Linked DNA regions of Mus musculus. The protein of the gene in region 1 purifies or fractionates together with the protein of each later gene. This does not show direct contact. Links are inferred from orthologs where the notes say so. Each region holds a gene or a part of one and is shown on either strand. Other genes may lie near its edges. The genes, in order: Fau and Rc3h1.

What was found.
Region 2: the proteins of Fau (region 1) and Rc3h1 purify together in Homo sapiens (affinity purification with mass spectrometry; 3 studies listed by BioGRID, with this or other methods). This does not show direct contact. The link is inferred for Mus musculus from reciprocal best matches to the Homo sapiens genes FAU and RC3H1.

Annotation. Positions count from the first base shown.
Region 1 is NC_000085.6:6,056,582-6,060,147, forward strand, and holds Fau (40S ribosomal protein S30), read left to right. Parts: upstream 1-1,365; 5' UTR 1,366-1,420; exon of another isoform or gene 1,421-1,661; 5' UTR 1,662-1,669; coding exon 1,670-1,744; intron 1,745-1,846; coding exon 1,847-1,991; intron 1,992-2,562; coding exon 2,563-2,618; intron 2,619-2,767; coding exon 2,768-2,893; 3' UTR 2,894-2,943; downstream 2,944-3,566. Other genes in the region: Mrpl49 (39S ribosomal protein L49, mitochondrial), read right to left, coding at 348-498, 1,078-1,155.
Region 2 is NC_000067.6:160,961,769-160,965,587, forward strand, and holds part of Rc3h1 (roquin-1), read left to right. Parts: intron 1-502; coding exon 503-716; intron 717-1,710; coding exon 1,711-1,801; intron 1,802-1,939; coding exon 1,940-2,072; intron 2,073-3,181; coding exon 3,182-3,352; intron 3,353-3,819. UniProt on the Homo sapiens protein: Post-transcriptional repressor of mRNAs containing a conserved stem loop motif, called constitutive decay element (CDE), which is often located in the 3'-UTR, as in HMGXB3, ICOS, IER3, NFKBID, NFKBIZ, PPP1R10, TNF, TNFRSF4 and in many more mRNAs.

The DNA.
Region 1 (3,566 bases):
CTGTAGTTCCAACTGTCCTAAAACCTTGTACTGGCAATGAGACTTTACAAAACAAAACAAAACAAAACAAAACAAAACAAAAACCCCACACTGGACTCTGCATTAAGGTTTCACATACTGAGATGATACCCATTTTGTTGAATTTACATAGGGTTCGTTGGACTGGAAGAAGAGAACTCCACACACATGGGTCTTCTCTGCTTTTTCACTACAAGGTAAGACCTCACCCCAGGAACATAGGGTGCTGCTGTTGGTACCTTCCCCAGGGGCAGGACAATACTAACCCTCCTACATCTTAGAACTTCGAAACCCACTGGAAAGTCCAAAGCCTCTATTGTTCAACTCACCTCTGGGAGGCTGCCAACCACTAGGAGTGGGGTAATGTTTATGTTTTGGTGGCTCTGGGATTTTGGTAGGGGGGAGCAGGCGCTCCACAAATTGGTATTCATCCACAGACTCCACAAAGCCGGGGTTATCAGGAGGCCCCTGGGTCTGGCTCTAAGGCAAAACAAACCATCTTTCCTTTAGTTTAATTAACACAGGAGAACTTTAGCTTAAAAAAAAAAGCATGAGTAAAAACTTGAACTGAGAAAAGCACCAGACTTGGATATTTTAGTGTGCATGATACCGGGGGTGGGGGTGGGAGTGACCTGAAAGAAAATTCTCAGTCAGAATCCCAAGACCTCTCCAGGACTCAAATGGCAAACGTGCATAATCCGGAAAAGCCGATTAAGCATACGACTGACCTATACAGTACTCTTCAGTATTTGTCTTTGAACATGTTTTTGAAACTCTTTAACTCCGAAATGACATGCTTGATCGATCAGGCACCGAGCGGGGACATACAGCTGCTCTCGGTCTTACCCAACTCTTGGGATGCGGCAGCCACATTCCCAAACCCAGACTCTCCAAGCGCAGTCCAGGCTCTGCACCTGCCCTCTCCACCCTCAATCTACCCTCCATAAAATGAAGCGGAGTACATAGCAAATCTAAGGCCTCGTGAGGGAATACGAAGTTCAGGGTGGTCATGAGCAACAGTGAGGCTCACACACAGCCTTCTGTCCACCGGGCTCTTACCAGCTTCCGTCGCCCGTAGCTCCGACCGAGGCAGCTCCTCCAGTCCTGCAAAGCGGCTCGCAACACCGCTGCTGCCATCTTGGCGCCTCAACTGAGTGTCATATGCGCGCGCAGCCGGGCTCGCCCCGCCTCCCTCTGCGCGCGCAGGCCACAAGGACCGAACGCCTGCGTACAGCGTAAGGGGCGGGCTGGGACGGCGGTGGGCGGTACAAACCACCAGCGATCCGCGCGGTCGCGCTGCAGTGACGTCACACGCAGCAGGCGGTGAGGACGTGCGCGCCCCCACTTCTTCCTCTTTCTTGACTCCATCTTCGCGGTAGCAGCAGCGGCGTCCGCGGGCTAGGTGAGACACGGGGGACTGCTGGGCCAGGAGCGCTCGGTAGCCAGCGGTCTACGGGCTCAGAGGGTGCGGGGAAGGCAAAGTACAAGGGCGGTTCTGCGGCCTTCGCTCCGTCTCCATCCGGGTCCCCGGCGAGCCTGGCCTTCCGCATGGGAGACCGCGCAATCCCCCGCCTTGATTACCGTACCGCGACCTTTCTCCTGGGCTGCTCCCTATCATCACTCACAAGCCTTTCTTCCTTCAGTAGCCAACATGCAGCTCTTTGTCCGCGCCCAGGAACTACACACCCTCGAGGTGACCGGCCAGGAGACGGTCGCCCAGATCAAAGTAAGTATGTACTGATCCCTGATTCCTAACTGCACTCCTTTACCTCCAGGCCCACGGGGAAAGTTTGTCTACTTATAAACATTGCTCCTTTTTTTCCTTAAGGATCATGTGGCCTCCCTGGAAGGCATTGCCCCCGAAGATCAAGTCGTGCTTCTGGCAGGCTCGCCGCTGGAGGATGAGGCCACCCTAGGCCAGTGTGGCGTAGAGGCCCTGACCACTCTGGAAGTAGCAGGCCGCATGCTGGGAGGTGAGTGCTTTTTTTCAGAGCTAATGGAATGTCTGTAGGTAAACCATGTGATAGGTCCTTTCTCTGATAGTATACTTGTGCCTTCTAGGGACTTTAGATCGTAGTGATAGTTAAGTCTGGTTTTCAGTATCCCCACTAAAACCTGGTGGTAGGGAGGCAGTGACGCAATCGGATCACTGTGAATTCCAGGCCAACCAGGGCTACACAGAGGAGCTCTGTCTAGGAAAAAAGCAAAAGGAAAGTAATAATAATTAAAGTCTTGTTATTAGGTTCTCAGTGTGCTCCTCCTGTCTTTGCTCTGTGTGTAGAATGTTAGCTAAGAGTATGGATTGGTTTTTAGAGTCCTTGCCTTAGTATCTGTCAGCTCTCAGCACTGCACAAACTGGTTGTGACTTGAAGTGGAAGACAAGACGTGGACAGCTATGTTGTGACCCTGTCTCTAAGCCTGTGCAACTTTCATTCTTTGTTGGGCCCAACTTGTCATTAAAAAGCTCAAGAGTTGAGGGAGGAAGAGTTGCTCTGGGCGTGACCTTGCTACTTAACCTGATCCCTTTCCCCACCCCTAACACAGGTAAAGTTCACGGTTCCCTGGCTCGGGCTGGAAAAGTGAGAGGTCAGACTCCCAAGGTGAGTGATTGGTGTTTGGACTTTGTTTCTTTCTATCACAGCCAAGTGAAGGCCTTTGGATTTCCCGTCTGTGTTCTCTTATGGAGAGAAGCTGGTGGGCAGGCATGGGAGAGGTCACCCAGGGTCTGATCAGTCCTTCCTTTCCTCAGGTGGCCAAACAGGAAAAGAAGAAGAAGAAGACAGGCCGGGCCAAGAGGCGAATGCAGTACAACCGGCGCTTTGTCAATGTTGTGCCCACCTTTGGGAAGAAGAAGGGCCCCAATGCCAATTCCTAAGTCCTATTGCCACCCTGCCATGCTAATAAAGCCACTGTGTCCAGACTTCTTATGTTTTCTTCATTTGTAAGGCTGTGACTAGAGGCTAGCAAAGTGCCTTGGTCTCAAGTAGGAAAAAAAGGGGGGGGGCAGTGGTGGGGCACGCCTTTAATCCCAGCACTTGGGAGGCTGAGGCAGGTGGATTTATGAGTTGGAGGCCAGCCTGGTCTACAAAGTGAGTTCCAGGACAGCCAGGGCTACACAGAGAAGCCCTGTCTTGAAAAACAAAACAAAAAAACAAGGAATCCTTAGAAGATCACAGAGGATGTGTTTACTGAAAGGATAGCTGAGCCGAAATACAGAAATGTGACAAGTGGTATTGGAAAGGTACAGATTCTATGGGCTCTGCCAGACAGCTTTTGGGTTTGTGTTGGTTCACTTTCCATTATGACGGCACTAGTGTTTTTGTTACAGGCATGCCCTATAGATGATCCACTAAGGCAGATCACCCATCTACCCCTCTATAGACCTCATAATGCTTAACAATACAAACTAAATTTCAACACAACTTGAGGGAAAACATTGTTTTTTTTTTTTTGTTTGTTTTTTAAGATTTATTTATTTATTATATGTAAGTACACTGTAGCTGTCCTCAGACACTCCAGAAGGAGTCAGATCTCATTACAGATGGTTG
Region 2 (3,819 bases), on another chromosome or scaffold:
ATCTGATGCCCTCTTCTGGGATGTCTGAAGACAGCTACAGTGTACTTACATATACTAAATAAATATATCTTTAAAAAAAGGGGGGGGGGTATCACACTGAAGTAACATTACCAAAGTAATGCTAATTCCTTAAATTAGGAAAAATAAAATAAAACTACTAACCTAGTATAGATGCCATTAAAAGTTTTTCCAGATACATGAAAGAAGCCTTAACTCAGTGCCTCTCAGCATTGACTTATAGCTCAGGGGTAAAGTGCTTGCCTGACAAGTTAATGTTCATACATATGACTTAGGAATGGGTAGATTTATCATCTACTATCATCTGTCTGTAATTGTTGGTCATATAATTCTTACTGTGATCTAAAACCAATGTTTTATATGACATCCAAAGACAGCTAAAGACTTATTCTTACTAATAAGAACATCATACTCTTATTAACAACCCCTTTACAGAGCTGGTAGAAATTATGCTAAACATACTCTCATTTTTGCTTTTTGTTAGAATGTAGAAAGTAAAGGAACGAGAGAGCAGAGGTTGGACCTTCAGAGAAGAGCAGTGGAGACGAGCGATGATGACCTCATCCCGTTTGGAGACCGACCAACAGTCTCTCGATTCGGTGCCATCTCTCGAACATCCAAAACACTGTATCAGGGTGCTGGCCCACTGCAAGCTATAGCACCTCAGGGAGCACCCACAAAATCTATTAACATTTCCGGTAAGAATCCTAGAGTGGTAATTATGATTCTCAATGTAATTCTATCAGTGCTTTTAAGACTTTTTTTTAAAGATTTATTTATTGGTTATATGTAAGTACACTGTAGCTGTCTTCAGACACTCCAGAAGAGGGAGTCAGATCTCATTACAGATGGTTGTGAGCCACCATGTGGTTGCTGGGATTTGAACTCCGGACCTTTGGAAGAGCAGTCGGGTGCTCTTACCCACTGAGCCATCTCACCAGCCTGCTTTTAAGACTCTTAAAGGCAATTATTAAACTTTTCCCTATAAGAAAGCAATTGCACTTCAGGCAATTTTAGGAGTATAAACTAAAATTAACTCTTTCTATATTAAGACTGCTTGAGGGGCTAAGGTGTAAAGCTCAGTTGATAGAGTGTATGCCTAATATATATGAGACCCTGTATTCAATACCCCAAACCACATAAACCAGCTATGGCACATGCCAGTAATCCTAGTACTGGAGAGATGGAGGTAGGGAGATCGGAATGTTCAAGTGCAGCTTTGGGTGCATAGGGATTTCAAGGCTATTCTGGGCTAATGATCCTGTCTCAAGGGGGGGGGTGCTGCTTGTGACTTTTATCTTAAATAACTTCATTATTTATTAAAATAAGATTCTTGGAGTCTGAGGAGGTGACTGGCTGGATAAAGAAGATCTGAGTTTGGATCCCCAGTACCCACATAAAATGTAGGCGTGCGTGCGCGTATGCGTATGTGTTGTGTGTGTAATCCTAGTGCTTTGGGAAGATAATCTGACACCAACCCTCACCCCTACATTCAAACACTCGTGCACACAGTGAAAAGAAAGTATGCAAAACCTGAAGGTTCAATGGGGAAGAAACAAATGCATTGTCATTTTGGCAGACAGCTTTCTGCAGAGACAGATACCGTGTGCCGCTGCCTTCTGGATGATAGTGCCTTAGATGAATCAAACTGGTAAATGACATCATAAACCACAGTAAACTGTTCCTTTACAGATTACAGTGCATATGGAGCTCATGGTGGCTGGGGAGATTCTCCATACTCACCTCATGCAAACATACCTCCTCAGGGACACTTCATTGAGAGGTACAGCCATTCTTGTTCACTTGTTATAAATATCTGAAACATTTAGCTTTCCTTGCTTTGTTTTCTAGTCAGTAGTGATTTCACAAAATAAAACTTTATACAAAATTTACCTAATGGTTTCTTTCTTTTTTACCAAAGGGAGAAAATGTCCATGGCAGAAGTGGCCAGTCATGGAAAACCCCTTCTATCTGCTGAAAGAGAACAATTACGGCTAGAATTGCAGCAGCTGAACCATCAGATCAGCCAGCAGACCCAGCTACGAGGACTAGAGGTACAGACCTACAGATACTTTTTTCTTGTGTCAGGAATTTTGATGTAGAGTACCACTGTGTAGCCCACATGGCTTCAGACTCAGGATCCTCCTGTGTGGCCACATTGGTACTTACATCGAGCTTTCAGTGTTCAGCACTGTGCCCGTTTTGTGCTCTAGTTCTGAAGAGCTCCCAAGAATGTTAAGTTGGATATAATTTTCTTTCATCGTGTATATGTATTTTGTGGGGTGGTATGTGCACATGAATACAGATGTTGGAGGATCTGCCTGGAGCTGGAATTATAGCAGTTGTTGTAGGCCTCCTGACATGTATGCTGAGAACAAAACCCAGGGCATCAACAAGAGCGGTATCTGATCCTAACCATCAAAACACCTCTCCAGTCTCCTTAAATAGTAAGTTCTGAGACACAGTAAAGCAGCACGTAATTTTAAAGCCTTTGCCTAACGTTAGTATAGATATCCCTTCTTCAGAGGATTCAGAACTAAATTTAGTTCTTGGCTAATAGAAAAAGAATATTGTCTGAGAATAAACAGTAGTGGAGGAAAAAGGAAAGAAAGCCTGCCTCAAGAACATTGAGTTTTTATAGAAAAAAATATAGGATTTACATCATGGAAAATAGCAATGAGAAAGAAAGATACACATTTATAATTGATTTCTCTTTGAAATAGGAAAAAAGATTAAATTATTTTTGGTGCTGGAAATATGTCTTACCATTCTTGCAGAGGATACAAGTTTGGTTCCTGTCTTACAACTGCCTATAACTCAAGCTCCTGGGGATCCAGCTCTCCTTCTGGCAGCCATAGGCATCTGCATTTCTGTTTAATGTGTACATCGCAACATTCACACACGCCATCTCTGTCTCTGTCTCTGTCTCTCTCTCTCGAAAATAAAACACATCTTTTAAAACTCACTCTCCCTTAAAAATAAAATACATCTTTTAAAATTAAAACCATGTTTCTCAAGTGCTATTAAGACAAAATGTGTTTATAGTTGGGTTATTTTTACTGCAAACTTGTGGCTAGTTTAGTGGTAAAATACTTTGGGTAAAGTGTTTTCTATGTGGCATGAGGTGCGCTGAATTATGTGTGTGCTTGGCTTTGTGCACTAGGCTGTTAGTAACCGGCTGGTGTTACAGAGGGAGGTGAACACCCTGGCAAGCCAGCCACAGCCCCCTCAGCTGCCTCCAAAATGGCCTGGAATGATCTCAAGTGAGCAGCTCAGCTTGGAACTGCATCAGGTGGAAAGAGAAATTGGGAAGAGGACCCGGGAATTGAGTATGGTGAGTGCTGAAGGTGGGGAAGGTGGAATGAACTCTGTGACTCTAGAGCTGATTCCAGGTACCTTGAGGAATAAGTAATATTTAGGGTGATTCTAATAAAGATGAGTTGTCATCTGGTGGTATTATTATTTTAGGTTTGTCCTTTGTCAAAGACTTTGGGGAAAACAAGGGAATTAATTAGAAATTTTAAAGTTTCTGTTTAATGTACTCATTAGGGAAGCAGATGGGATGGTTGCTCTTTTGGACTCTGTAATATTAAGATATGTTTACACAATAAAATGTTACTTTTCATGGTCTTTTATAGAAGAGATATATAGTCTGTACACTGTTCTCTGTACTGCTTTTTCATGCTAGTTTGCAGCATTTTCAAAAGGTAGTGAGAAAAGGTGGGTTGTACTGTATACTTTAGTGTATACTCTCTCATCTACCTGTTTTTTATTGTTAATTCTTAGTGAAGTAGGAATGAC